Ovis aries: one gene and its partners. The protein of the gene in region 2 purifies or fractionates together with the protein of the main gene of each other region. This does not show direct contact. Links are inferred from orthologs where the notes say so. Each region holds a gene or a part of one and is shown on either strand. Other genes may lie near its edges. The genes, in order: POLE3, SMARCA1 and chromatin remodeling regulator CECR2.

What was found.
Region 1: the proteins of SMARCA1 (region 2) and POLE3 purify together in Homo sapiens (affinity purification with mass spectrometry; 3 studies listed by BioGRID and IntAct, with this or other methods). This does not show direct contact. The link is inferred for Ovis aries from reciprocal best matches to the Homo sapiens genes SMARCA1 and POLE3.
Region 3: the proteins of SMARCA1 (region 2) and chromatin remodeling regulator CECR2 purify together in Homo sapiens (affinity purification with mass spectrometry; 3 studies listed by BioGRID and IntAct, with this or other methods). This does not show direct contact. The link is inferred for Ovis aries from reciprocal best matches to the Homo sapiens genes SMARCA1 and CECR2.

The regions. Positions count from the first base shown.
Region 1 is NC_056057.1:707,614-717,403, forward strand, and holds POLE3 (DNA polymerase epsilon subunit 3), read left to right. Parts: upstream 1-4,458; 5' UTR 4,459-4,558; coding exon 4,559-5,002; 3' UTR 5,003-5,118; downstream 5,119-9,790. UniProt on the Homo sapiens protein: Accessory component of the DNA polymerase epsilon complex. Participates in DNA repair and in chromosomal DNA replication.
Region 2 is NC_056080.1:113,455,518-113,466,331, forward strand, and holds part of SMARCA1 (probable global transcription activator SNF2L1), read right to left. Parts: intron 9,015-10,814; exon of another isoform or gene 8,944-9,014; intron 8,831-8,943; coding exon 8,744-8,830; intron 6,979-8,743; coding exon 6,812-6,978; intron 6,507-6,811; coding exon 6,406-6,506; intron 6,299-6,405; coding exon 6,198-6,298; intron 3,325-6,197; coding exon 3,145-3,324; intron 1-3,144.
Region 3 is NC_056056.1:214,767,063-214,778,317, forward strand, and holds the start of chromatin remodeling regulator CECR2, read left to right. Parts: upstream 1-4,965; 5' UTR 4,966-5,085; coding exon 5,086-5,211; intron 5,212-11,255. UniProt on the Homo sapiens protein: Regulatory subunit of the ATP-dependent CERF-1 and CERF-5 ISWI chromatin remodeling complexes, which form ordered nucleosome arrays on chromatin and facilitate access to DNA during DNA-templated processes such as DNA replication, transcription, and repair.

The DNA of each region.
Region 1 (9,790 bases), on a different chromosome or scaffold from region 2:
CATCAAGAGATTATCTGTTTATTTTTAACAAATATAGTCATTTAAAATTTGTAACATCCATTTGAAGAATAGAAGTGAAGACTATATCTATTGAAAATCAGCATTACTTCTTTTTAAAAGTACATCTTCTGCCTTCTCCTTCTTTGATTTTTTTCTGAGACTTGCGGATTTTCAGATACTTGAACAATACAAACTCTCCTAGGAATAAAACCATGATTGGATCCTATACCACCCACCTGATGACACACAACCATCTCCCAAAATTACTCCAGGTCTAAGATGCTTAAGAGAGAAATACTAACTTTTGAGTAATAACCCACCATCCTTCATTTAGTACCATAACTTCAGGAATTCTGAGTATTCTAAATGGTATTTTTAGAAGTTGGAAAAAAAGATAAACTGGGATATTTGAGATAATGGCATACGAAATAACATTTATTTCTGATCGTTAGTATTTGTTTAATACAGAACTTCACATCCAAGATGATAACAGCAGATTATTTAAAGGGTATATTTCCTGTTCCATTGCTCAAGCTGCAATAATTGGAATAAGAGTCCAAGGAAGAGTTGGAACATATTAAATATATATGTGTATATATATATATATACACATATATATGATTATATATCTCTATGTATAGCAGTTATGTGATACATAAGTGTTTATGTATAATGGTTTTAACAGAGTTAAAGGTATAGTATGACTTTATATCATAAACCTCCAAAGGCAGTCACGTATATCCTAAATCCCAAGTGATATAGCATGAAAAACATGTGCCATAAAGTTTTTGAATATGACAAACAAATGAAAGAAAGAACAAAGACATATCTCTTAACTATACATTCAACAAATTGGAAAATTTAATCAATAATGATATCAAACTTAGCAAGCTTTCTAAAAGAAAATCTTATAGGAAATTATTACTTTCAGAAGGTTATTTGAAACTCACAGTAAACCTTTGCAGTGGTCATTAAAAATTATCCCACAAAGTGTTAACATGAGTTATCAAGAAATCACAGATACAATGGTCCCCCAAAGTAATATTTCATAACATCATGTAACATCCTATGAATTATTTCCTTATTTTTTCCAGATTGATCATTTTGCACTCATTTCTTCTCCTCAGTCATGAAATCATGCAGCTGAAAAATAATGTGACTGAGTTTGTTCTGCTTGGATTGACACAAGATCCTGTTAGGAAGAAAATAGTGTTTGTCATTTTCTTGATTCTCTACTTGGGGACATTGCTGGATAACCTGCTGATTATTGTTACTGTCAAGACCAGTCGGGCACTTGGGAGTCCAATGTACTCTTCCTTTTCTACTTCTCCTTATCTGACGCCTGCTTCTCTACTTCCATAGCTCCCAGAATGATTGCTGATGCTGAAGAAGACCACTATCTCTTTCAGTGAGTGCATGATCCAAGTCTTTACATTCCATTTCTTTGGCTGCCTAGAGATCTTCATCCTTGTCCTCATGGCCACTATGTGGCCATCTGTAAGCGTCTGCACTACACGACCATCATGCGTCATTGAGTCTGTGGTGTGCTAATGTCCTTGGCCTGGTTGGGTTCCTGTGTGCATTCATCAGCTCAGATTCTTCTAGCCTTAAGTCTGCCTTTCTGTGGTCCCAATGTAATTAATCACTACTTCTGTGACTTGCAGCCTTTGTTGAAACTTGCCTGTACAGACACCTATGTGACCAACCTACTCTTGGTGTCCAACAACAGGGCCATCTGTACAGTGAGTTTTGTCATGCTTTATCCTGTGCTATCATCTTGCATTCTCTGAGAAACCACAGTGCTGAAGGGAGGAAAAAAGCCCTCTCGACCTGCATCTCCCACATTATTGTGGTCATCTTGTTCTTTGGTCCTTGCATATTTATATACACTTGCCCTGCAACCACCTTCTCCATGGATAAGATGATAGCTGTGTTTTATAAAGTTGGGACACCTTTGTTCAACCCTCTGATTTATACCCTGAGGAATGCAGAAGTGAAAAATGCCATGAGGATGTTATGGAGTAAGAAGTTGACAAAATATGAATAGAAATTTCAAGATTTATTCAGTGTTTGAACTGACCTAGAAAAAGTCCATAGAGACCATTCTCGTCTCATTGTGAAGTTAGTATATTTCTATCTTAGGGTGTGCCACTGCCCTTAAGATTGAACAGCAGTGTGCACACATATACTTGTTAGTGTTGAGTCAATCTTATGTAGAGGAGGAAAGGACACTAGGTATAAGCAGGCTTTAAAGCCCAGTAGCTTAAATGCTGTGTCTTTATATCTCTCACTTGCCTGGCATTAATTTCTCTGAGGTTTTCATCTAATGTGTTCCCTGCCCTTCTTCACCTTGCTGTCTACTGTTTTGCTCCGATGTAACCTTGCCCTATATTCTTATATACACAACTTAGTAACTTTTTTGTTTCCTCAACCTTTTATTAAAAGCTTCTCTTTCATCATATCTATTCGATGCACACAACTGCAGAAGCTTCATGTAGTAAGAGACAGTATATAATCTAGCATTTTTTCTTTCAATTATTTATTGTTCAATCCAAATTGTTACCATATGTTTAACCAGACCCTTCCTTCTCAGATGGAATTAAAATTCTGTCAGTTTTTTTCAATATTAAGAAGGTTTTAATTGTTAAGTTTCTTCTCAGTTTAGCATTTTTAATAAAACCTACACTGTGCTCCTCACATGACGGAAGTGACTTAATCCACATGCACATTGTGCTCCTAATATGACTTCTGCTGATCTGGGGACAGTATTAAGGTTTCTCTTGAATCATGCCAATCATGATATTGAGAAAATAATGGTGGACTATTATAAATATAGTATATATATTACAAATTAAATAGATTTATGTGGGGTTGGAGATAGAGTGTAGACAGTTGATGTTAGTGAATTTCAAAATATTAATACATTGAATATGCTAAGTCAGAAGTTATTTCTATTTGAGAAAGAATTATTTATGTACATATATATGAATTATGAATTTCCTTTCTTGAAAAGGACAAATTAGAATCAGGAAAAAGTATTTCTGGTGGTTTCTAGAAATTCCAAAGAAGTAATGGGAACAATAGGTAGCACACAAATCAGTTTTAGTGAAGGAAAATAGTTCTGTTTTAGATACTTCAAAGACAACATACAAATGAACGACTCATATTAAAGATGCTCAATATTACTAAGTATTAGAGAAATGCAAATTCAGAATGGCCATCATTAAAAATGTCTACAAATGACAAATGTTGGAGAGGGTATGGGGAAATGGGAATTCTCCTACATTGCTGGTGTGAATGTAAAATGATATGATAGCTAAAGAGAACAATATAGAGGTTTCTTAAAAAACTCAATATACCTACTAAGTGAACCAGCATATGGATTCTGGATACATACTAGGAAAAAACCATGCTTCAAAAGGTTACATGCACCCTGATGTTCATCACAGTGCTGTTTACAATAGCCAAGACTTGGAAGCAACTTAAATGTCAACAGATGAATGGAGAAACAAAATACAGTATATATATATATATATATATACACACAATGGAATATTACCCAGCAATTAAAAAGAATGAAATATACCAATTACAGCAACAAGGTTTGATCTGAGATTATTATACTAAGTGAAGTAAGTAAGACAAATATCATATGATATGGCTTATATGTAAGAATCTTAAAATAAAAGATACAAATATACTTATTTATAAAACAGGAACACTCAGAGACTTAGAAAACACAATTATGATAACCAGGGGAAAAAGCAGGGAGGGGAGGAATAGACTGTGAGTTTGGGATTGACATGTATATGCTGCTATATTTAAAATAGATAATCAAGAACCTACTGTAGAGCACAGGGATCTCTGGTTAATATTCTGTAATAATCTAAATGGAAAAATAATTTAAAAGACAAAGGATGCTTGTATGGGTATAACTGAATCACTTTGCTGCATACATGCAACTAACACATTATTGCTAATCAATTGTATTTTAATATAAAATAAAAATATAAAAACAACTAAATGAACGAAAGGAAGGTTGTAAGGTATTGATATAAGAATAAACATAAAAATCACTGAAACATCATAAAGATTTTAAAATTAAAAAAAAATTTAAAAATACCAAAAAAAAAAGAAAGTCCAGGAATATACTTAAATAGATGAAAAGTTTTACAAAGATATCAAAGTAATTGAAGCAGAAATAATATATTTTTCAACAAATTATACCACATCAATTAGATATCCGTATATGAAAAAAAGGAACCTCAACCACTACCTAATGCGGTAGATGAAAATTAGCTCTAAATGAGTCATAGATCAAGAGGTCAAAGCTAAACTTATAAAAATTCTGTGAAAAAATTACAATCAAGAACCATAAAGAAACTAAAAAATTGAACATTGTTAATATTTTAAATCTTCTGATCATTAGAGATTATACATTTTAAAAATAAAAAGGGTGGGACGGAAGCCTCGCTGGGTCAGACTGTGGCGACGCGGGAAGTCCAGACGCCGTGGCGGCCTGAAGAGGAGGTCGCAGGCATGGTCCCCGGCCGCGACCATGGCGGAGAGGCCCGAGGACCTAAACCTGCCCAATGCCGTCATCACCAGAATCATCAAGGAGGCGCTCCCGGACGGTGTCAGCATCTCCAAGGAGGCCCGGAGCGCCATCTCCCACGCCACCAGCGTCTTCGTGCTGTACGCCACATCCTGTGCCAACAACTTTGCAATGAAAGGGAAACGCAAGACACTGAATGCCAGCGATGTGCTGTCAGCCATGGAGGAGACGGAGTTTCAGCGGTTCGTTACCCCATTAAAAGAAGCTCTGGAAGCTTATAAGAGGGAGCAGAAAGGCAAGAATGAAGCTTCAGAGCAAAAGAAGAAGGACAAAGACAAAAAAACAGATTCGGAAGAGCAGGACAAGAGCAGGGATGAGGACAATGATGAAGATGAGGAAAGGCTGGAGGAAGAAGAACAGAATAAAGAGGAGGAAGTGGACAACTGAGGAGGATGGGGAGACGCCCCTTGGAAAGAACCACGAGAAAACTTGGTACACGTTTGTGTGAAGCTTGTTCCGGCTGGGCAGAGTAGTCTTAGGCAGAAGAGCCTGATGAGATTGAAATAAAAACTGAATTAATCATCAGGATTATCTTCAAAGCCAGTGCTTACCAGACTCGGAGCATCTGAGTAGCAGAATCCTGGTTTGCTTAATCAGTCTCAAGGTTATAACTTTTGGCAAGAGGGATTCTGAATAGCAAATTTAATTGGTCAGTTTGATCTCTTTTGTTTACATACACATATAGTTAGGCAATTGTTGACCCCCCCCAGTTCCCTCCCTGCCCCCCAGAAAAGTAATAATAACTTCCATGCTGCTAACTGTGTCCCAAATCACAGAGGCAGTTCAGGCTCAGGAAAAATTGAGGTTTGATCACAGTCAACCTATTTGATTATACAATATTTGGCAATACTAGCTTATTTCAAGTGATAAGAATGGCTTAGCTTTAGGAAACTACTAAAAAGGTTGAAGAGAACAATAAAATCTGCTGTTTCTTCATTTGACAGTAACATTAATTTAATTTTGTTTTCTATAGACCCACTTGGCTTAGAGCCCTTCTATATTGCCTGTAGGCGTGTAACCTGCTTGGGAGGCTACCTTCTAGGCACATTGTTTTCAAATCCACAGAGCAGAATTAGTTAAGCAAGGTTGCCAATGTCTTACTCTTATAAAACAGATGGTTTAGTTTTAAATGCACCTCACTGCCTGCCACTGTACAGCTTCAGGATTTGTCATCATCTCCTGGAAGGTATAAAATTCCAGGTTTTCGTGTCCCGTAGTCCATCTTCCAGATTTGTGACTATGGCTTTTCGTTTTCCAATTCATGACAAGTTCCGAACTTTATTTCTACTAGGCACAGCTTTCTCCCTCTGTGCTTCTCACCACCTGTCTCTGTCCTGCCTCTCCTCTGCTCCCCATTCCCACTTTCTCTGTCCCTCTTTTTTTCACTTCTGCCAACCCAGGAACTTGGATGACCTGCAATATCACAGAGTATAGGTTCCTCTGATTCCCTAGTTCTAATCTCATGTCTTAAAAGTGATTTTGTAAACCTCTTTGACCCATGAGGGAAATCTGATGGTGCTCAGGAATTTACTTCCTCCCCTAACCCATCCCCTTTAACTGCTTCTAAGTATCTCTGTTGACCTTTCCAGGTGTTCTTCTATTTCCATTTGGTGCTCTTTGTATAATAAAAAACATTATTGTTAAAAAAATACATAAAAAGGCAATTCACAGAGTAGGAAAAAGTTGTATCTACATTCACATGTACAAAATTTTACATTATATATAAGTTTATGTGTAAAATTATATATGTAAATTCATTATATATATGATGCATATATATGAAAGAAGAACTATATCTAGAATATATATATATATATATATATATATATATATATATATATATATATAAAACCTATAATTTAGTGATGAGAAACCCAGAACTCCTATTTCAAATTGCACAGAGGTCTTAAAAAAAAAAAAAGAAACTTCTGGAAAAAGGTATAGAAATTGCCTGTAATATAACATTAAAAATTATCAGCTTCAGTAGTTATCAAGAAAGCAAAGTAAAACCTCCATAGTTTATCACTATATACTTCCTAGAAGGACCAAAATGGTACCAAGGGACAGAGATGTCAAATAATTTACTTTGAAATCAGAACTAATTTCTTGTGTTTTATGTATCTATGCACGTGTGTAATGTCACTTGCTCCTAAGTCACTTCAGTTGTGACCAAATCTTCGTGACCCCATGGACTTCAGCCTACCAGGCTTCTCAGTCCATGGGATTTTCCAGGCAAGAGTACTGGAGTGGGGTGCTATTGCCTTCTTTGGTAATGTCACTTAGTATTCCATAATGACTGTCACAACTTTTCCAGACATAACTTACTGGAAACTTTTCAGAGTTTCTCTCTCTCTATATATATAATGATTGTGAAAAACAAGTTTGTATTCAAATACTTTCAAATGGCCTCACTGCTCCACCTCTCAAGAAATCAGTGCTAGATTTCCAGGAACTTTGATACTGATAATAAGAAAGTTCTCTCTCTGACATGAGTGCACAAATTAACTACATCGCAGGTCCCAAGGCTGGAATACTGCTCTCCTTGTCATTCACATGACATTTGTCCTTCTTAGATAAACCAGGCTTGTATGAAGAGGATTCACCTATTTTAGCTGCAAGTGCAGGGAATACAACTCCTCACTCAAGAATGAGTGTTTCTCAAGCATGTCTCTTTGGAATACCTACTTCTAAGAAAAATCCTTTCCATCAAAGCAGATAATTAGTTCCTGGGAGAGAAAAGAGCAGCTATAAGACAAAGTCCTTGAACCTGTATTGGAGACTTGTTAAATATCCACACATGCAATTGGAAATGTCTTTATCTGTTATTTACATTTTTCAGAGAAAGACTTGTCAAGAGTTGAAAGATCCATTTGAAGGTGTTTCCACCACATTTATGCCTGCTGACTTTTGGAGTAGACCATCCATGGATGATCATTTCTCCATCGTTTTCTTTGTCAGTTTATTCTAAGTTCAAGTTCCAGGTTTTCTGTGAAATTTATTGACTCTTTAGGCTAGAAGGAAATATGTAAACATATAGAACGATTTATCTCCTATTGATTTTATATTGAGTTATCTGAATAGCTTCTTTCTGAATGTGTCACATCTTTCTTATTGAAAGTTCCTTATCCTAGGGCTTCCCTGGTGGCTCAGAGGTTAAAGCGTCTGCCTGCAATGTGGGAGACCTGGGTTTGATCCCTGGGTCGGGAAGATCCCCTGGAGAAGGAAATGGCAACCCATTCCAGTATTCTTCCCTGGAGAATTCCATGGACAGAGGAGACTGGTGGGCTACAGTCGACGGGGTGGCAAAGAGTCGGACACGACTGAGCGACTTCACTTTCACTTTCACTCATCCTAAGAGGAGGTCAGTTTGAACATGTGATTAGTTCTGAATACCCTCAAATATCATTAATATCATCTAAGAAAGACCAGAAGTTAAGTTCTTCAGTAGAGATGATGCTTAGTAAAGACTGTTACTTTACATATATTGTTGTTGTTCAGCTTCTTAATGGTGTCCGACTCTTTGTCACCCCATGGACTGCAGCATGCCAGGCTTTCCTGTCCTTCACCTTCTCCTGGAGCATGCTCAGACTCATGTCCATTGATATGAGTTTATGTATATGGCAATTATGTTTTAGTTCAGTTCAGTTCAGTTCAGTTCAGTCGCTCAATCATGTCCGACTCTTTGCAACCCCATGAATTGCAGCATGCCAGGCCTCCCTGTCCATCACCAACTCAAGGAGTTCACTCAGACTCACATCCATCGAGTCTGTGATGCCATCCAGCCATCTCATCCTCGGTTGTCCCCTTCTCTGCCTGCCCCCAATCCCTCCCATCATCAGAGTCTTTTCGAATGAGTCAACTCTTCTCATGAGGTGGCCAAAGTACTGAAGCTTCAGCTTTAGCATCATTCCTTCCAAAGAAATCCCAGGGTTGATCTCCTTCAGAATGGACTGGTTGGATCTCCTTGCAGTCCAAGGGACTCTCAAAAGTCTTCTCCAACAGCACAGTTCAAAAGCATCAGTTCTTCAGTGCTCAGCCTTCTCCACAGTCCGACTCTCACATCCATACATGACCACAGGAAAAACCATAGCCTTGACTAGATGGACCTTAGTCAGCAAAGTAATATCTCTGCTTTTGAATATATTATCTAGGTTGATCATAACTTTTCTTCCAAGGAGTAAGCATCTTTTAATTTCATGGCTGCAATCACCATCCACAGTGATTTTGCAGCCCCCCAAAATAAAGTCTGACATTGTTTCTACTGTTTCCCCATCTATTTCCCATGAAGGGATGGGACTGGATGCCATGATCTTCATTTTCTGAATGTTGAGCTTTCAGCCAACTTTTTTGCTCTCCTCTTTTACTTTCATCAAGAGGCTTTTAGCTCCTCTTCACTTTCTGCCATTAGGGTGGTGTCATTTGCATATCTGAAGTTATTGATATTTCTCCCGGCAATCTTGATTTCAGCTTGTGTTTCTTCCAGCACAGTGTTTCTCATGATGTACTCTGCATAGAAGTTAAATAAACAGGGTGACAATATACAGCCTTGACGTACTCGTTTTCCTATTTGGAACCAGTCTGTTGTTCCATGTCCAGTTTTAACTGTTGCTTCCTGACCTGCATACAGATTTCTCAAGAGGCAGGTTAGGTGGTCTGTTATTCCCATCTCTTTCAGAATTTTCCACAGCTTTTTGTGATCCACACAGTCAAAGGCTTTGGCCTAGTCAATAAAGCAGAAATTGATGTTTTTCTGGAACTCTCTTTCTTTTTCCATGATCCAACAGATGTTGGCAATTTGATCTCTGGTTCCTCTACCTTTTCTAAAACCAGCTTGAGCATCAAAGAGTTCATGGTTCACGTATTGCTGAAGCCTGACTTGGAGAATTTTGAGCATTACTTTACTAGCATGTGAGATGAGTGCATTTTTCAAAAACAATAGCTATTTTAAAGAATTAAATTTTAACATTTATTTTTAATTGTAAAAGAAAGAATTCACCTCATTCTTCTGCAAAATGTTGAAAATGACAGTCCCAGTGACTGAGCATATTAGTCTGGGTATTAGAAACCCAGATTAGAATCTTGCCTTTTCCCACCAGCAGCTTCTTGATCTGGGGTACATTTCTTGCAACCTTATATTCTTATTTCTTCTAATATCAAGTGAGAAGACTAATCCCC
Region 2 (10,814 bases):
CCAGGCAAGAATACTGGAGTAGACTCTCATGCCCTACTCCAGGGGGTCTTCCCAACCCAGGGATCAAATTTCTATCTCTTAATCTCTTGCATCATGCTGCATTCTTTACCACTAGCACCACCTGGGAAGTCCAGGAGTGATAAAGAGATAGGGCACACTCTCCGACATAAATCACAGCAGGATCCTCTATGACCCAGCTCCCAGAGTATTGGAAATAAAAGCAAAAATAAACAAATGGGACCTAATTAAAATTAAAAGCTTTTGCACAACACAGGAAACTATAAGCAAGGTGAAAAGACAGCCTTCAGAATCGGAGAAAATAATAGCAAATGAAGCAACTGACAAAGAATTAATCTCAAAAATATACAAGCAACTCCTACAGCTCAATTCCAGAAAAATAAATGACCCAATCAAAACATGGGCCAAAGAACTAAACAGACATTTCTCTGAAGAAGACATACAGATGGCTAACAAACACGTGAAAAGATGCTCAACATCACTCATTATCAGAGAAATGCAAATCAAAACCACAATGAGGTACCATTACACGCCAGTCAGAATGGCTGCGATCCAAAAGTCTACAAGCAATAAATGCTGGAGAGGGTGTGGAGAAAAGGGAACCCTCTTACACTGTTGGTGGGAATGCAAACTAGTATAGCCACTATGGGGAACGGTGTGGAGATTCCTTAAAAAACTGGAAATAGAATTGCCGTACGACCCAGCAATCCCACTGCTGGGCATACACACCGAGGAAACCAGAACTGAAAGAGACACGTGTGCCCCAATGTTCATCGCAGCACTGTTTATAATAGCCAGGACATGGAAGCAACCTAGATGTCCATCAGCAGATGAACAGATAAGAAAGCTGTGGTACATATATACAATGGAATATTACTCAGCCATGAAAAAGAATACATTTGAATCAGTTCTAATGAGGTGGATGAAACTGGAGCCTATTATACAGAGTGAAGTAAGCCAGAAAGAAAAACACCAATACAGTATACTAACACATATATATGGAATTTAGAAAGATGGTAATGATAATCCTGTATGCGAGACAGCAAAAGAGACACAGATGTATAGAACAGCCTTTTGGACTCTGTGAGAGAGGGCGAGGGTGGGATGATTTGGGAGAATGGCATTGAAACATGTATATTATCATATATGAAACGAATTACCAGTCCAGTTTCGATGCATGAGAGAGGGTGCTTAGGGCTGGTACACTGGAATGACCCAGAGGGATGGGATGGGGAGGGAGGTGGGAGGGGGGTTCAGGATGGGGAACAACACATGTACACCCATGACGGATTCGTGTCAATGTACGGCAAAACCACTACAATACTGTAAAGTAATTAGCTTCCAATTAAAATAAATAAATTCATATTTTAAAAAAAGAAAAAAAAAAAGAGGGCAGTAACCAATTAAATCCACTCTTTCTTGAAAACTCCCACAGACACTTCATGGAGCCCATGGAGTTCATATAGTAAAATCGAAAACCACTGGCATACATGTTGGTGATGGACAGGAAAGCCTGGTGTGCTGCAGTCCATGGGGTCACAAATAGTCAGATACAACTGAGCAACCGAACTGACTGAAGACATAATGAAAACACAGCCCAGATATTTCTCAATATCTATGATCTTCAAGAAGATTACAGCAAAACAAATCAGTAATTTAGAAATACAAAATTTTTATAAGGAATGGTATTACATTTAAATAATAGCAGCAATCAGAAAGAGTTCTAAGTGACTAATTTGCTACTGGGAAATATGAGGCATAGGGAAGAATCAAGCCTGTAATTCTAAATTTATGAGCTCAGTATTTCAATATTTAAATTATTTATAAGTTAAATTTAAATAAATTTAAGTAATTTTTCTTCAAGCAAAATGATAAGAATAAAATTACATAATTCATTATGTTACCACTCTTTTGAGAATATCTTTTGATAACCTATCTAAATATGTAAAATAGAATAAATCTTTACTCCAAACTATGTTCTCTGGAGGCAAATAAAGACCAAGTTTAATAATATGCTTTCTAAGCTGATTATTCATTTTGGTATTTTTGCATAATTCATTATTTTTAGATTAATTCAACAGTCCTAAAATAACTGTAGCCTACTAGATTGACAAATGGTTAATTTAAACAAGAACCCTTAATTTCTAATATTATCTAAGAATGTATGCAGACACCTATTCTTCTATTCAAAGATCAAAACTGAAAGCTGTGTCTATGCATAAACACAAAACACAAGGTTCTCTGTACAAGGAAAAAGGTTCCATTCATGTGTGTCTGCATGTGCATGTGTGCATGTAAACAAGTCAAAGTCAAAAGTAAAAAAATTAAACAAACTGAAATGCAAATTTATACACTTTTGGCATCAAAAGAGCACAAATGATAGAATCACTAAGATAGATGGTCAATAAAATACGATTTTTTAAAACAAAAAGTCACTCAGTGCAACTCAAAAGTGCTTAGATTAATGAGCTAGTTAAAAGTAAATGCAAATAAGCATAATAATGGATTTTCTGTTATGAATAGGTAATACATCTACCTCAGAAGAGTGTTGTGAGAATTAGCTCAATTAATATATGAAAAGCACTTACCTGGTACAGATGAACTTATCTGAAAGCAGAAATTGAGAGAGAAATGTAGAGAACAAACATATGGATACCAAGGAGGGAAGTGGGGGTGGAGTGAGTTGGGATATTGGGATTGACATATATACACCTCTATGTACAAAATAGCTAACTGATGAGAACCTACTATATAGCACAGGGAACTCTACTCAGTGCTGTGTGGTGACCTAAATGGGAAGGAAATTTTAAACAAAGAGAGGGGATATATGTATACATATAACCGATTCACTCTGCTGTACAGCAGAAACACAACACTGTGAAGCAACTATATTCCAATTTTTAAAAAATGTATAAATACATTGACAGAGATAAACACAAAAGTCGATAACAAGAAGTAAATGTGGTATTTTAAAAAAGCACTTACAAAAGAATCTAACACAGAGTAAGCACAACTTAAGTGTTATTCAGTAGCAGTAGTCAACTCAAATGTCTTTTATAGCAACAAAATTTAACCCCAGAAATGTTGTTATTCTTGATTGCCTTTTAAAACCTGTTTCTCACTTACTCTCGCATCCTTGTCTCCAACGAAACAAATAACACGAAGAGATGGGACCCATCGCTTAAACTCGTTCATCCAGTTGTGTAAAGTCGACTTTGGAACTAAAACCATGTGAGGTCCAGGAATGTTTCGGTAATGTTTCAGGTAACCAAGCAAAGCAATCGTTTGTAAAGTCTTACCAAGACCCTGCATTATCATCACAGAGAAAAAAATCCATAATCATGTTTTATTTAATGAAACATTTGTTAGTAGCAACATTACAAAAGATATCTGCCAAGTATCTCACATTGGGAAAAGTTAAAAGAATTTTTTTAAGTGAATAACCATTCCAATTCAATACTTAGGCTGAGCACAAAAAGAAGCCAAGAACTTGCAGTTAGAAAGTTGCTCAACAAAGCATTTTTCTATTTAGACTTTTACTCCTAAAGGAGTGAGCAACCCCTATCATTTTTTCTACTAGTTTGCAAAATTAGGAACTATGTGTATTTCACAAAGACACATTTCCTTTATCAGCCTGCTTGGTGTTAGTGGTGGTGGTTTAGTCACAAAATGTTGGACACGCGTAGCCCTCCAGGCTCCTCTGTCCATGGGATTTCCCAGGCAAGAATACTGGGGTGGGTTGCCATTTCCTTCTCCAGGGGATCTTCCCGACCCAGGGATCAAACCCGCATCTCCTAGGTCTCCTGCACTGCAGGCTAATTCTTTACAGACTAAGCCACCAGGGAAGCCCAGTCAGCCTGCTTAGATACCACTCTTTCTTTCCCATTGCCTTCAACATTATTACAGCCCAGGTTTGAAATATTCAGACTCTGCATCTCAAGAGGTCTATAGCTCTATACTCACATCTCATACCCTTGAAGACCTAAGGAATCATAAAAGAACAAAACAAAAGAACTTTGCAGCCAGAAAGGAACCTAGTCCAGGTGACTTTAAAAAAATAATAATAATATACTGAACACCCATGAACCCACTACGTAACCTACGGGAAAAGGAACTATGTCCTGTGTCACATGACCTTTTAAAACACTTTCTGACTTTGTCTCTAGTCAAGGTATATATTTCTTTTATAAACCTAAGCTAAAAGCTATTTTTATAGGCTTTATCCCGCCTGACATTTCACTTAGATAGATTTTATGGATGCTATGCATTAAAATCTTAAAATGAAAAAAAAACTTAAAATGTTTATACTCCTTAACCAAGTAATTCCACTTCTAGAAATACTATGGAAATAATCTGAGGGGTGCAGAAAACTGAATTACAAGGGTTCTCATAATAGTATTATCAGACATCAAGTAGATACATATATATCAACCAATATATACTATATACATATATTATATATACTATATATATATTATACATCAACCAATCCATACGAAATGAATAAAGTTATGTTATCTCCCTATAATTAATTATTATGCAGTAATTAACAATTATTTTTACCAAAATGTTTTAATTATGTGGAAAATATGTATGAATGTGAAGAAATCAGAATACCAAATCAAATATACAATATGACCTCAAAAATGAAAAATAAATAAAACCAGAGGAAAAAGACTAAAAAGAAATATGCAAACTGTTACGTATTGTTGTTTCTAGGTAATAAAAAAAAAACACTTACTTTAAATTTTTTCCTGATTTTTTCCCAAATTTTCTAGCATCATTAAACTTTCTCCTTTTTAATAATTAAAACATAACTGATATCAGCATAAATTCAACATGAAATATCTTTAGTTAATTCCTGTTTAGACAGGCTGCAGCCAAGAGGAGCTTGGGGCAAATAATCCTAGTCTTTCCGTTGTCCTGGAGAAGGAAATGGCACCCCCCTCAGGTATACTTGCTTGGGAAATCCCATAGACAGAGGAGCCTGGGGGGCTACAATCCATGGGGTTGCAAACAATTAACTAAACTCCTTCCTGCCTGAGCTGACTGCAGTTTTCAAGGACCTGCTACACACCTACCAGTTGCTTAGCCAGGGATGAGTACTTATGGAACCAACCACTACACTACAAGCTATGGAGCATAATTAGTCATGTGGCCCATATGGACAAGTGATTGCAAATATGGCTCCGGAGTCATTTTTGGAGTATCACTGCCCTTTCTTAACCCCTACCATATACATTTGGTCTTAAAATGTCAAGCCAAGTCTTCATATACTCCTCTGACCTGCTGAATTAGCATCTTACATGGCCTTACTTTTTCTCTTTGGTCATTTTTTTTTTTTTTTACACAGTGCGCCCTCAGAATCCACAGGTTTCACATCCAGGTATTCAACCAACCGCAGATCAAAATCCGCAGAGGGCCCAACTGTGCTATGCCATTCTACATGAGGACTTGAGCTTCCACAGATTTTGGTATCCACGGGGAGTCCCTGAACCAATCTCCCCCGTATACGGAGGGATAACTATACCTCCCATCAATCCTCAGCTCATTTCCTGACCCAGCTGGCACTCTACTATCAAGACTCAATACTGCTCTTCACTTTCTTGTTCTTTATTCCATCTATTCACAGTTTGTTTGATCACACACAGAGGCATTTACATTCACTCATGCATGCATTCATTCATTTAGCATTTGGCTTTTAGCCCCACCTCAGTCCCAAAAGGATTTCAGGTAGCCTACAATGAAAACATGGAACATAAATTAATGGTTAAAGAGAAATAAAGAGGGCCAAGGAAAGTAAAAGGTAAAGAATAGGAAAAGGCACAAAGGACACAATGGGCAGACCATTTAAAGTTACACAGATGTTCCATTTTGGCATTCACTATAGCTCTGAGCTCCTTGGAAGCCAAAGTGCAAATATCAACAAAAGTACAAGGAGGTTTTTTTTTTTTTTTAATACCATTTGAGGAAATTTCAATAACAAATTTAGGGGCCTGTAAAAGCATATGTTCCAGAGGTTAAACAATTCTAGACTTTACAAATACCTTGTATGTTACAGCTAAATAAAACATCTAGCCTCCAAACTCTGGGGCGGGTGGGAATTTCAGCTCAGGTATTTCAAATTTACATAAAATTATTGATAAGTGAGAATGTGTTTTTAGCTACCAACTCCTTACCATTTCATCAGCCAAAATACCATTGACTCCATTTTCATACAAAGAGATCAACCAGTTCAGTCCTCGAATCTGATAATCTCTCAGTGGTCCTCCTTTCACATCTGGAAAAAAAAAAATCAAGGCTCACATACTTTCATTAGTACAACCAAGTAAAATTTTTCTAAAACTAAACTGAAAACAAAAAACACCAACATGGTGAGGTACTTACAAGAAGGTGACACTTCAAATCTAACACATACATTAGATGTTTTCCGACTCTCTGAGAGGAGCTCTTCATCTTCTTCTTGTTCTGTGCGCCTGTGACGGTAGCTGAAACAGAAAAAGAAATATCTTCATATTCAATTCAAATGCTAAGTTGTCAATTAAGTCAGTATATTATGTTAATATCTTTTATGAAAAAAAGTTATCTAGAGTCTTGCATAAAAGTTGATAAAACCAGCTGACATTTTTATTGGTTGACTTCTACTGAGAAAAAAAAATATTGTCTCTAAAACATATTTATACAGGCGATAACCTTGTTTTTTAGATATAAAATCACACTAAATACATGAAGGAAGGCAAGTATGAAGGGCAGGAGGAAAGGAGGGAAGAAAGTTAGAGAGATGCCAACATACTCTCCAACAGAAATTAAGCTCTGCTTGTCATCTTTCTTTATTCGAGGGCGTCCCAATTTCATGTTCAGAGGAGATGTTGGAGATTTCTGCGCTGAAGGTTGAATGAAATGTGCAAAAAGCTCTGTCTGCTTCAGTAAAAATTCAAATCTCTTTGCTCGATCTGCTTTCTAATTTACAAGACAAAAGAAAAAGTAATGATTTCCTTTTATGTTCTTTCAAAATTTAACAATACACACATTGCACGTAATTTGTACTACACTCTAAGTACTTTAAACATACTAACTCATTTAATTCTTTTAATAAATCTATGAGGTAGTTACTAGTATTATCCCCATTTTACTGATGATAAAAATAAAACTGAGGCACACAGAGGATAAGTAACTTGCCCAAGCTCCCACAGCTAATAAGGAGAATTTGGAAATGGTATTTTCAGATTGTTTGAATAGAAGCCAAGTGATCTGACAGGCTTAATAAATGCCTCAATAAGTATTCTGCTTAAAGTATTGGGGTCAAAAAGCAAATTCTGAATGGTTTGGAAAGCCAAGAATTGTCATCTAGAAATAATTTAAACTCAGAATACAGTGTCATCTTCTCTCAAAATATTTTCAATGCTTTGGTACAATACATTTCTCTGTTCAAGTATAGTGATCTGCGGAATTGTGGTTTATGTTAAGAGTATATAAAGTTTCTCCCGAAAGTGAGGATTTAGAGAAAAAATACACACAAACACACACATATAAGTGAAACAGTTAATAACATTAGCAATTCAGAAGTGTATGTTATAAATTCTAAACAAATTTTAAAAGGTCATATAGCTTATAAAAATAAATGCAGTAAAATTTTTTCACTAAAAACATCTTAAAAGATCAAAAGACTATCATTCTAGATAAAGAAAAAAAAAAGGTGATTTTTTAATTCCCAGTCACTTTCTAACCACAGGGTAGACAATATTTGATTACCAATGAAGGATGCATAATTAATAACATAAAAATCTTCCAAGAATTCATTACCATAAATACAAGAATTAGACAAATACATTCAGACCAGTAGCTGGAAGGAGGCCAAAATCTTTCCATTTTATGTTATCCTCACTGGAATGTTGTTTCTAGAGTTGTTAAAACATTAACTTGTCCATGTTAGATGTGGCCTTAAGCGTTAAGGCACTGAGTTCTGTAAAATCACTACAAATGACCAAAAAATGTACTTTATCTCTACTTACTTTCAAAAACAACCCCTTGACAAAAAAAAAAAAAATATTCAGTTCCAACTGCCCATTTATTTCTCTTTTCAGTTAACCAAGTTCACTGGTTTTGAAAGATCCCAAGGCATGAAAGTCCAGTTAAAATTAAAGCTAAAATATGGGTTTTGGTGAGTAAAACTTAAATAATGAAATGTACAGCAAAGCACTAGGTAGGTGTATCTAAGGTTATATTGCTTAAATGTGTAATATTTTCATACACTGGGCAAATAGCCTTCCCTCAAAAACATATATTACATGTTTCATAATATGAAGCATTCATTCACATATCCAGAGCAAAGAGAGAGAGAGGAAAAGAAATACCAGGCTGGTTTTGTGACCTGCTTTCTCTCAGCCATACTGATATTGCCACTTATATTTTCACTTTGTGGATAAAATATTTCTAGCGTAAAATATCCTATTATGGGGTAAAGAGGGCTAAACAAAAATGAAGAGATGTGGCTTCTGGTCTCAACTATTCCGTATCATTTCTCCAATACTCTATTTCCTCATCTGAAAATTAGGAGATTCATTTATCCAACAAAAATCTATTATGATGGATTCTATATTACTTTTCAATTCTAAAGCCTATGATTCTGTATTCATCATATACAGACATGTATTTTTTAATTTTTCACATCTCCTCTATAAAAATCAACTACTGTATTCACTCTTCTACCCAAGAACATATTTACCATTTTCTCTTCATATTCTGGATCCATTTCCTTTTCAGATTTAGAAGCTTTAACAGCAAGTTTGAGTTGAAATGGAGAAACGTTTTTCTAGAATTTCAAAGAAAATAAATCATCAAATTGCAAAGCAAGGTCAGCATTCTCATTTGAAGAAAATAAAAAGTAATTAAATACTAAATAAATAAATCCACATGGGCCATGCATGGACCAATGATGAGAGCATGTCATGAACAGGGCTTATGATTAATCCAGTTCTGTGCACCTGAGGTCCAATTAAAAAAAAATCCAAAGAATCGTAAAGCCAGAGAAATAATACTAATTAAAAACCAAAAGGTGGGAAATGAGCCTTTGCACCTATTGTGTAAAGTGAAAGAAGTGCATAACCACTCAAGAGGACATTCAAAATCTAGGATATTTTCAACCATAAACCAAAGAATTCAAGGAAAGTAAATATTAATTCCAGAGGTACTTCTTTATGTAATGGAAACAAGCCAAACTTTCATGAGAAAAGACTGTGGTTTCTGCTCCTGAAAAGATGTAATTTTTAAATATTGTTTTTATATCTTAAATAGAACATTAAAACTTTTATGTACTGCAGTGTGATCATTTATATTTGAAACAATGAAATAGTAGTTTCAAACTTCTGGTTTATGTTAATTTTCTCCAACTGGACAGAAAACCTTTTAAAAGTATATATATGAATATCTTGTAAAGCAGTTTCTCATGGCTATTAACCTTTGATATTTAAAACACTGTAACTTAGTGAATAGCAACATAAATCAGCTACTTTAAAATACTGAAATTATCTAGGGGGTTATGTCATGTCACTCTATCCTTTTTAAAGACAAGCTTGTACTTATAAACAGATATGTAGAATATACCTCCATCCCTGTAAGAAATCAAGAAATAAAATAATACAAATATAAATCTACCCATTAGTACCAAAGTGGAGGCCATTCAAGTTTTAACACAGTCTGCAAAGTCAAAATACAAATCCGTGAAAACTGAAGAAATTATGTCCATTTGAGCATTGCTTTTTTTTTTTTTTTTCAGGAACAGCATGTTCCTGAAAGCTTGGGTCATAAATCAATAGAAGGATGTGATCTTAAACAAGAAAAATCTGGCTCCGATAGTTAATAAATGTTTTCCAACATTTATTAAAATTTCTATTTTGAGGAACTCCAAACTAAGATTATGGAATTTGACCCTGATCAGGGTTCTCCTTTGGAGCACTGATTAGATACTGTCCAGTTATTCTTAGCCCAAATAACAGCCGTCTTGATTTACAGCATCTCATATGTATATATGTGGGATGTTTTGAATGTAATTCTGGATGGATGAGAATAGAAACTACTAAAATGCCCTCAATACCACACTTTCAAACTGTCACATATGCTAGAAACTCTCTTTTATTTTCAAAGCAAAAAGTAAAAAAAGAAAATCCTTTATCATTCCTTGAAAAGCTAAATGAAATCTACAAGTTTCAAAAATTAACCTCTCCTCAAATACACAAGTATATATCTAATAATGCGGAATGCAAATTTCACTTACAGAAAACTAAAGCTTTAATATTAGAAAAACACTTGTTACGTTTTTCCTTACCTTGTAGTAGAATATCATAAAATTTTAATTCTATGATAATTAAAATTCCTAATTGTGAGCATTGCCATTTAAAGCAGTAGGCAATTACTTAATTGGCACTATCTTTCACAACAAATTTTAAAATACCTACCTTCAAAACCTTCCCATTTTTGTATGTGTATGTTTTTACAAATATACCTCTCATCCCAGAAAATATAAAAGGTAACTAAGATATTCTAATGAATTCCTTATGGGTTTTCTCATCTGGTAGTCTAGATGCTATAAGAATGCAGCACAAGGTCACCAAGATGTCCTGTTTAAAGACCATGACCTTTTTCTTGACATTTTCATTACCAAAAATACCAACTCCAATTGTCATGGTATTGGGTTATCCAACTGTCACTTAGAAAAAAGAAGTTCAAGAACCAGAAGGTAAAAAAAAAAAAGAAGAAGAACCAGAAGGTAAGCAAAAATACCCTTCTTAGCTAAACGT
Region 3 (11,255 bases), on a different chromosome or scaffold from region 2:
TGGATATACTGGGTTTAAGAACACATTAAATTTACCTTCTCAGAACTGACGAACACTTCTAAGAAGATTAATCCAGCCACACTGGAGAGACAGAGGAGATAAACCAGAAGAAAGAAAACCAGTTAGGAAGCTTCTCAACTAGAGAGATGAAAGGACCTCATTTGGGGTGGAGACAGGGGGAATACTAGAGACTTCATGGAGGCAGAACCCACACAACTGTGGTTATAACTAGCCAGGACAGAAGCAGAGAGTTGAGGGTGAACCTGGTGGTCTGGGACTATGATTGTTCCATTAAAGGAGATACAAAGTCAGTAAGGTATGTGACTCGCAAAGAAAAAACCCAGAGCTAGTTTTCCACCTTCCTTTTAACATGGTGAGTTTCAACATCCAACTGGCATTTGGGGGAAATGACCCTGGGGCTCAGGAGAAAAGCCAAGCTGAAGATGGATCCATCCTTCGTTGGTTGACTCCATGCATGCGGGTAACTGCGGATATGGGCTGACCACTCTATGCCACTTTATAAAAGGGACTCCAGTGACTTTTGTTATCCTGGGGGTCCTGGAGTCAATCAATCCCCTGAAGATATGACTGTATTGAGAAAGGCATGACCTTTGAGACTGCCTGAACGAGTTCCAGGAGGGAGAAAGCTAAAAGGCAGAGGAAGGAATGAAGGAAAGGTAAGTAAATCAACATCAGGCATTTTAAGACGTTCTAATTTTTTTTTTATGGTTTTATGTTACCATTAACTAATCATTTAATTTCTGTGTATTAGGAAGGATTCCCCCCGCCCTACATAATCAAGTCTAATCTGGATGAGAAGAAAAGACACCCCCAACTACAGTGAAAGATTTAAGTAGCACTTCAAAATAAATAATAGAATGATGACCCAAGGAAGTGGTTGACTAGTGAGTCATATACACTGCAGTTTCTCCAGTCAGAGGACCTGGACAAATACCCCTAAGAAGGGGTGTTTCAGGAAAGCTTTAGGAAGGAGGTGAGTTTGAGTGATCTGAGAAGTTGAGCTGTCTTTGTAAGCAATTGAAAGGGCAGGATCAAAAGGGAGGAGCAAGAAGATCCGGGGGTGAGTGAACCAGTTTGACAGGAGGGAAGGAGTCACTGGTTGGATGAGGTGGGGGTGGGGATCGCAGGTGAGGCTGGGAAGGCAGGTGGGAGCCAAACTCTGGCTTGAATTTAAGATTCAATGGAAAAAAAAAAAGACTCAATGGACTTTCATGCTCAAGGGAGAGTCATAGAATTTGGAGCAGGTGAATGACATGATTGAATTTACATTTTAAAGCTGGTTGTACTCTAAAGGTGAAAGCTATAGGGTTCAGGAACCATTAGTTAAGCCCCTCCTCACAGATGCAATACACATGCAAGAGATTAAGCCTTTTCTAAGAGACAGCCAACTTTCCTGACTATAATATAACTCACTTTCCACAATCTCTAAAATGTTAAAATTAGCCTGACTTATAGTCCTCTGTGGGAATAGTACCCTATGGAAGGTAGCTCTCTACTGAGAAAGGAGGGGTGTGCCAATACTTCATGATGGACCTGGACTCAGACGTGGAGACAACTAAGGTGATAGGATAATGGTTCTGCCTCACTACAGCTCCAGCTGGGCTCCTGGACTGAGTCAAGGAGCAACCACGTCAGGGTGGGCCGGCAAAGGGACAGAAAGGGCAACTGGAGAAGTGAGAAGCAGTGTAATCTGACTGGATGATCAGTTAGAAGATTTGAATTCTAGTCCTGGTTAGCAGGAAGAAACCTGGAAGAACCACACTTTTGTCACCTGCCTTCCGAGGTTCAAGTAATTATTTTTAGCTGATCATACAGAATTTGCAATGTATTTCTCAAAGAAATGCAGTTAGAAAATGCTGGTTGGTTCCCCAGATTATCCTCCAGGAACCTAGAGTAATCCCGAAACAGCTGAGATTACTGCAGTGAGTGAACCAGTTTGACAGGAGGGAAGGAGTCACTGGTTGGATGAGGTGGGGGTGGGGATCGCAGGTGAGGCTGGGAAGGCAGGTGGGAGCCAAACTCTGGCTTGAATTTAAGATTCAATGGAAAAAAAAAAAGACTCAATGGACTTTCATGCTCAAGGGAGAGTCATAGAATTTGGAGCAGGTGAATGACATGATTGAATTTACATTTTAAAGCTGGTTGTACTCTAAAGGTGAAAGCTATAGGGTTCAGGAACCATTAGTTAAGCCCCTCCTCACAGATGCAATACACATGCAAGAGATTAAGCCTTTTCTAAGAGACAGCCAACTTTCCTGACTATAATATAACTCACTTTCCACAATCTCTAAAATGTTAAAATTAGCCTGACTTATAGTCCTCTGTGGGAATAGTACCCTATGGAAGGTAGCTCTCTACTGAGAAAGGAGGGGTGTGCCAATACTTCATGATGGACCTGGACTCAGACGTGGAGACAACTAAGGTGATAGGATAATGGTTCTGCCTCACTACAGCTCCAGCTGGGCTCCTGGACTGAGTCAAGGAGCAACCACGTCAGGGTGGGCCGGCAAAGGGACAGAAAGGGCAACTGGAGAAGTGAGAAGCAGTGTAATCTGACTGGATGATCAGTTAGAAGATTTGAATTCTAGTCCTGGTTAGCAGGAAGAAACCTGGAAGAACCACACTTTTGTCACCTGCCTTCCGAGGTTCAAGTAATTATTTTTAGCTGATCATACAGAATTTGCAATGTATTTCTCAAAGAAATGCAGTTAGAAAATGCTGGTTGGTTCCCCAGATTATCCTCCAGGAACCTAGAGTAATCCCGAAACAGCTGAGATTACTGCAGATTTTGCAAAAAGAAATTCAAATATTTTTTGCCACATCAATTAACAAGCGAAACAGGTTAGTCAAACTAAGTATTGTGTGTGTGTTTTTAATGGAAGATATTTAATTAGCAGATGGTATGGAAGTGGAGGTGGTAGGAAATCTGGAAGAGAATTTCTTTTGGCACTTCCAAGGTCATCTCAGATCAACAGTGCTCACAAACAGAAAAGAGGCAGAGAGGGCAAAAGAGAGAGACAGAGAAAGTATGAGAGCTGTATGCCTTTTGGGAACAGGATAAGAAACAACTGGTGTTTGTAGGGTGAGAAATGGGCCACCCTTAAAAAGGCAGGGGCAGGCAGCGCTGAGAGTCCTGGGAAGAAGGAAGGAGGTGGGTGTCCTGGGAGGTACCAGGGTCAGTGATCCAGGTCTCAGGAGGCTAGGGCGAAGCCAGCCCAAAAAACAGATTTGAGGCAGTTAAATCCCAGGGGAAAGGTGGAACAAACAGTCAAGGATCGTGGGTATCAACTCCAACAGAGGCAGAGGAAGGGGTGGGTACAAATGTGACCCTCCAGACAGAGCCAGAACTTGAGGAACCCGAGGAGACACAGAAAACCTCTGGGCTGGAGGAGGAAGACCTGCTCTGGTGGGGGGGGAGGGGTTGGGGGGAGAGTCACAGCCGATCAGAGCCAGAGAGGAGAGAGAAAGAAAGAGGGTTGAAGCTGTGTGCCTGTCCAATGGGACACCGAGTGGTGACCCTCAGATGAAGAAGGCAGCCTGGGGGCAAGCGTGCTGAGGATGGGGCGGGACCAGCACCAACGAGGGGTGACCCCCTCAGCCACCACCAGCCCTGCCCCCGCCCCCCACACCCCAGGGTAGCGTGGCTGGATTCAGGACCGGGCAGTGTGTGGGGAGGGCAGCGCTCATTCAAACAGGCCAGAGTAACCCAAACTTGTCACCTTTCTGCTTGCTGGTATGTGACTTTTTAGGCTCTGTGACTACCAGGCTGGGGCCCAGATCACCAAGGGACAGGTAAGATGGAAAAGGGTAAAGGGCAGGATGAGGAGCCAGAGGAGAACCGGGAAAAGGAGAGGAAGCAGAAAGGCAGGATGTAATGGATTAGAAACAAATGTGAAGGGAAGCAGGAAGCCTTACACAAGAGAGAAGGAAAGGTGCGGAAAGCCAGGCTGATCCGTGCGGAAATGCAGACAGACAGGGGTTAGAGAGTCCCCAGAAGAGAGTGCGAATTCAGGTCAGGTGGGTCACCCCACGGTGCGTGTCATCCTTCCCACACCTCACCTGGTCATCGGGCATCTGCCTTGGAGCTGCGCGTTACACACTCAAGTGCAGCCTCTGCTCCTGGGGGCGTTCAGATAGGCGCTCATTTTTTTCAAAGATGGACACGTGGTAGCATCTGCGGGTGAATTCTAAAGCATTCAGTAGCTGAGGTAATAGGCGAGCACAACTACCTAAGTTTGGGGCAGGGGGCGAGCGGCAGGGTAGTGTGCAGTGTTGGATGAAGTATTTTCTTCCAGTAAAGATCTAGTTAAATACACATGTTCTTTAAGATTTTTTTTTTTTAAATGCTGGCTTATAAAGAAAAAAACCAGGTTACTAAATTGATGGGAATAAAACGAGGGAGGGAATAAACCGGAGCCGCACTCCATAACATCCCAGCTGAGTGCGGCCACTACGCCGGCCAGTCCGGCGGGCGTCCGCGCTCAGAGGTCCCCACGCGGATCCCCGAGCAGCTGCGCCCGGGACCGGACAGGACCGGAGCGCAGGCGGCCCCCGGGCCAGGGGGAACCACCCCCACCCCCACGCAGCACCCCGCGCACCGCGGACGGCGAAGGGGAGGTCTCCCCCGGCCGGGGAGGGACGGGAGGCCGCGGGCTCTGCCTGGGTGTGGGGTCCGCCGCCCGGGACCCACGTGGGCGCAGCCCAGCGAGGCGCAGCCCGCCGGCCTCAGAGGGGCGCGACCCCCGGCCACGTGGGGGCGGGGCCCGGCGGGGCTGGGGGGCGGTGCTCGACGGCAGCCCCGCCCCCCGGCCCTCGGGCGCCCCTCCCCCGCCCGAGCGCGGCCCGCGGGCGGCGGGCGGGGGCGGGGGCGGGGTTGTTGTTGTGCCGAGGCCCCGCCCCCGCCCGCCCCCGGCCCATCTGTTCCCCGCGAGCCGCGGCGACATTGTGCGGGCTGGGCGGCCGGGCCGCGGCGCGATGGGCCCGGGGCAGCCGCCGCGGTAGCTCGGCCGGAGCGGCTCCGGGAGCGGGCGGGCGGCGGGCGCGGAGGCGGCGGCGCGGCCGGAGATGCGCCCCGAGGAGGGCGGCGCGGCCGGGCTGGGCGAGCTGCGCTCGTGGTGGGAAGTGCCGGCCATCGCGCACTTCTGCTCGCTCTTCCGCACGGCGTTCCGCCTGCCGGACTTCGAGATCGAGGTGCGCGGGCCGGGCCGGGCCGGGGGTTCGGGACCCGGGTGGGGGGTCGGGGCGGCGGCGCGCGGGGACCTCCGAGCGGCTGGCTGCGAGGGACTGAGCGGGGGGCTGAGCGCGAGGAGCGCTCCCGGCCGGCCCGGGTGGGCGGGCGGGGGTCGGGGTCCGGGCGGCGGGGACCCGGGCGGCGGGGAAAGTTGGGCCGTTACTCCGGGCGGCGTCCCGGCGGGCGCAGCGCGGGGCCGGGCGGTCCGCGTAGCGGGCGGCGGGCTTTGTGGGGCCCGGCGGGCTGGCGGGCGGGCGCCCCCGGCCGGCGCCCCGACCCCTCCCCCGGCCGCCTGGGGCCGAGCGCGCGGCCGGTCGGTGCCGCGGCCCCGGACAAAGGTGCGAGGCCGGCGCGGCCGGGCCGGCGAGCGGGGGCCGTGGGTCCGCCGCCCGCGGGGGGCGCGCCCGGCGGCAGCCGGGAGGGTGCGGGCCGCCGGGCGGGCGGGCGGCGGCGGCGGCGACGACAATGCGGCAGCCTCGGGTGCGGGGGCCCGGCGCCGCACGCCGTTCTCAAAGTTGGGACGTGACTCGGACGAGCACGGCTTTTTCTAAAAATGTGAGTGGGACGGCGGTTCCCGCGGACTGAGGGGGAGAAACGGCAGATTAGGGAATGCTGAGCGTCAGGACTTGCTCCACAACTGTCCCGAAGACCCCGTGTTTCCTTTTAGTTGGTCAAAATCCTCAGCACTTTAATTCTGCTGCTCAAAATGGTGGCTGCGGTGGGAGGTGTTGTGGTGACAATGCCGTCGTGGTGCCGCTAAACTTGCCCCTGCCCCATTTTCTCCCTGAAATGTGATAAAACTGAGGCGGTGCTGAATTACAGGTTAGAGTTCACGAGCCCCGTCTAAAAACACTGTGGAGAAAACTTCATCTTTCAAAAATCCAAATATTCCGATTTGGTTGATTGGGAAAAAAAAAAACAAGAGGTAACTAATTTTGTCCTAAATTGTTACAGAAATCTAGAGTAATTTATAAATAACGGCTTATGTTCTAAGAAATAAATCTGTGGTTTCTAAGTATTAGCTGCTTTAATTCCAAAAGGAAATGTAACCTGATCTGAGAGGTCCAATTTGTATGTATAACAGAAGTGAAAAATCGTTGCTACAGGTGAAATCAGGGCCACTTGAGATGAGTGTTTTCGCTTCGGATCCCAGTATTTCTTGGAAGTGACACTTTTTGGTGGTTGTAGTTAACGTGTATGCTGTTTGAAGTATATACGAATGAATATTTGGAATTCAGCTTGTACGTATTATGGTGGTCATCCATACCTCTATAATTTGGAGATGTTCAGTCGATGGCTAAGTAATAATGACTTACTCCTGCAATTCTTCTGTAATCTTTTTCACATGAATATGTTTTGATGAATTTGATGAATACAGGTTTAAGTTTTCACTAATTATCAGAAATTTAAAATTTCAAAGTAAGTTTTAGGTTTCTAGCAAATTTGATTCTGAGAGTGCAGAACTTACTGAGAACATGATCAGTTTTGATTCTCTAAGAAATAAATTTATTTTGGTTAGGTGATTTTTTTGTTTGTTTTTAATCTAATAATTTACCATTCTGAAAGGTTGAAGAAGGATCACTTGATTACAGTTTATGATGCACTGGAAGAATCTTAAAAACAGACAAACAAAAAACAGTACTAATACTGAGTTGTACCTGTTAGGACGACTGGAAGGACCCTATAATCTTAATTTAATGTAAGTTTAAAAGATAGAAATGAATAATACCAAGTGGTAGAAGTTGGATATCAGCTTTTTTAGGAAACTAGTTTTCAGCTGTGGGAAAGTACTCATCTTACCCTTGACAACCAAACTGAACCCATGGATTTAAGAAAATTTAGGAAGCAGAATCTTCAAGGACTTGGCTTCTGTTTATCTAAAACAAGGCAATCTCTTAGATAGCTGACAGGTTAGGAGCATTCATGGTGCAATTCTGTAAGAGGTCAAGACCTTCCATTTAACTGGTCCCCAAAGCATGGATATTTTTATTTTTGCATGTAAGAAAACCTTTTTCCTCTGGTAATTAGCCTTGAGTGTGCAGGATTTAATTAGAAGAGTGAGTATACTAGATTCTTGTGTTTTGGGTTGTGTTTAGGGACATCTGTATTGCTGCCCCTCAGATAGGGGTTCTGCAGTCATCAGATCAAAAATCTGCAAATGTGAAGACATATTTTAAGTTCAAAATTTGTGGTTTTAAAAAGCAGTGCATAATCACAATATAAAACTTGAAAATTATAGCAAAATATAGGTAAGAGAATTAAATCACCCATAATCTCACCACTCAGGGATAAAAACTGTTACTTAGAAATTCCCAAACACGTTCACAGCGTATTTGTGGCCCGTTTTAATTTTCCAGATGAGGAGACTGAGCTGTGTGTAGCTGGACAACTGTAGGTTAATGATACTGAATTCAGTGGTTGGTATTATGAAACATCTGTTACTAGCTGCTTAACTGGATGGATTACCAAAGAAGCTCATGGCACACTCCTTTGCCTCAGGATTATCAAATTCGGGACCACTTCACTTATATCAAGTTTTCTATGATTGTTTAACATTCCAGTGGACTAAGCTGGCTATGTTTTGTCCTGATTAGAGAATGAAGAATGGTGAATTGACCTTCCTGAAGATTTAGTACTGGTTTTCTTTTTTCCCCTAACAAGTGCTCTTTACAGTGAATAGCATCATACTTAACTAGACTGCGGTTAAGGGAGGATAGACCATCTTCAGTGGTCTTGTCTGGAGTTAATTGTGATGGATATAGGGTTGCAGGGAGAAATTCCATTATAAACATTTTGGGTATATTTTCTCCAGAGAAGAAACCATGGGGCCTCTGTGTGATTATTTGAAAATGGTCATGTAGAATTACCTGGTTCATACAATGGCAACATGATCAAAATAATCTGATTTTTATTACTAAAAGTCCCGTGTACTTTTTTTTCCCCGAGCTTTCTGCTTTGAGAACGAATCCTTTGGGTTGAATCCTTAGGCATGAATTACAGAGCATTATTATGTTTATTCATAAATATTATTCATAATTATGAAAATAAGTGATAGAAAAACGTGCTGAGAGAAACTTATTGGCACATCAGCCTTCGTTCTCTGGGCCCGGGGCCCAAGGACGGGTTACGGGAGATTTTGTATTGGTGTACATGCATGTACTTTCCTGTCACTTTCACCAAATTTTGAAAGCAACTCCAACCATCCAAAGTTAGAAGGCCTTGAACTAGATGAAAGATTTAAGTTGGCTTTGAATAGGGGAACCAGAGGCTAGTTTCATGACATGAGATGCCCTGGATCCGAGTTAGAAAACTTGAATTCTTATGCTTGTTTTGCTACTACTGCCTCTGTGACCTTCGGCAGGTCAAGTAGCCTAACGGTGAAGGACACTTGTATAGCACTTTGTACATTTCCCAAATGTTTTCTCATTTTATCCATCGTCATCATTAATCATTACTGGGAATTAGCAGTTTTGCAGATGAGGAAACTGGAAGTTTAGACAGGCTGGGTTTCTTGCACAGACTCTCCCCTGGATCTCAGCCTCTTTGCTGGTGCTGCTGTGTCACACAGCTTCCACTTTAGTTTTCATTATGTATAAAGCGAAAGGCTGGGCCTAGGAGTGGCCAAGATCTCACAGTGCAGATCTAGAGCTCTTGGGCTCTTAAAAACGTGGGGTACAAAAGATCCTTTTAAAGGATCTTAAAATACAGATCTTAAAGGACCCGTATTCTGCCGAATGCAGAGGGACAAATGATTTCATTTGGTTCTTTCAGCAAATGCTTAGCATCTACTGTGTGCTAGATGCAGTATATGAAGTGCTGGAGATACAGGTGTGAATATAACACAAACACCCCTCCTTTAGTGGAAGGAGACAGATGATAATAAATTGGCACAGAGAGGGCCAAGTTGGGGCGGTGGGTTGTTACAATTTAAAATAAGGTGATTAGGTGTGGGAGGGGTTTCTCTGGTGGCTCAGACAGTAAGGAATATCTACCTGCAGTGCAGGAGACTTGAGTTTGATCCCCTGAAATGGTCGGGAAGATCCCTTGGAGAAGGCAATGGCACCCCACTCCAGTACTCTTGCCTGGGAGATCTCATGGACAGAGAGGAGTCTGGTAGGCTACAGTGCATGGGATTGCAAAGGTGTGGGTGGCCTCATTGAGAAGATGGCATTTGAGCAGGACTGAAGGAAATAGGGGACTTAAAATTATTTAAGAACTAGTAGTTTGTGGGACTTCCCTAGCGGTCCAGTGGTCCCTGCGCTTCACTGCAGGGTGTCAGGTAGATTCCTGGTCAGAGAACCCACATGCTGCATGGTGCAAAAATTAGTAGTTAGTTACAATGAACTATTGAACGGAAAATATCAGATGATCAGTGTCTCCTGAAGACTCAGGATATGCTCCTTCTCTGAGGAGGAAAGCCCAAGAACAGGATGTGAATAACAGATCTTGAAACCTGAAAGGGGGGACTGCTCCCTCAGAGTGTAACTCCCTCCAAGGTGAACCCTAGATCCCATTCTGCTTATACCAGGGTCTTAAAGGGGAAGTTGTTGTCTTCATCTTCATTTGCCTGTTCGAGAAGCTTAAAAGGGTAGTTAGAGATTCTCCAGTTGTGGAAAGGGCAGTATTCTCTCATCTCTGAAGGACAACTTATGTGGCTTGCTTTACCATGGAAGTTCAGTTCGGTCTTGCTTAATTTTCTGGAACACAGTGAGGAAGCCCAAAATACGACTTGGCAACATGGAAGCATTTGGTTCAACCGACTGTCTGCCCTTTGATCGGGAGAGGCTGAGGGTTGAATTCCAGTTTTGTTTTTTTTTTAGGGGCTGGCTTCTTGTGGTGTGGTGGGTTGGGGGTAAGAATGAGGAGCTCTGGCATTGCTGGGAAACTGCCAGTGCGCACGGTGGTTTAGATAAAAAGTGGGTGTGGACAGAGTCCAGGGGGACAGAAGGCACAGTTTCTAACTAGATGGCCTTAGATATAGCTGATGGGATTGAAGGTACTTGTCAAAGGAATCATGCAGAGAGCCAGAAACCTGGACTGTGGACCCACGTCTGTCACTACCTGGTGCTGCGGTCTTAGGCAGATCATTTGGCTTCAGATGCCCTATCTATAAAAAGACAGTTCTGGACTAGGTGATTTCTAGGATGTTCCCCTGGCCAAAGTGCTGCGATTCCCCTGAGATGTTTCTCAGCATGCACGGCACAGGTAACTGATCCAAAAAGTTTTCCTGAGCTCATTGGTTAGGGCCAGGTGGCTCAGACAGTAAAGAATCTGCCTGCAAAGCCAGAGGACCCGGGTTGGATTCCTGGGTTGGGAAGATCCCTTGGAGAAGGGAATGACAACCCACTCCAATATTCTTGCCTGGAAAATCCTATGGACAGAGGGGCCTGGCAGGTTACAGTCCATGGGGTCGCCAAAAAAAGAGTCAACTGAGTCACTAACAGTTTCACTTTCTTTTTTGATACGCTGTGTTGGGGTCCCTGTCTTAGAAATTAATTCCGTACCAAATTAATGCAGCACATCCACACTTCATGTCTTCATAGATTGTATGAATTTGTCTTTCTGTGGAAATCCTGTCTGCAAATACATTACATTGAAGGTAGCTTAATTGATGCTTCCGCTGTCTTCGAGGTCCTTTCAAACTAAGATTTTGTATTTTGAGATTATGAGAAACTCAGGAAGGTGAAGGTCTTAAATTGTGTTTTTTCCCTTCACTTCTATTTTTTCACTTAAATTGAATATCGTTCAACACGTAGAACTTTGAATGGAGGCGGGTAAAGGTTCTGGTCTGGGGCTGTCCTAAGTTTGATGGCGAAGCTTTCCAGGCAGCTGTGCCCCCCTTGCCTGTATTTTCCTGTTTCACGGGACTCTGTTCCTTGAATGCTTTTATATTGTCCTCTCTACAGGAGCCTCTAACAAATACTTATTTATTCTGGAAAATGAACTTGTTTATTCTGGAAAACTCTGGAATTCTCTTTCTTTGATTTAGATAGGAGTCTTCAGA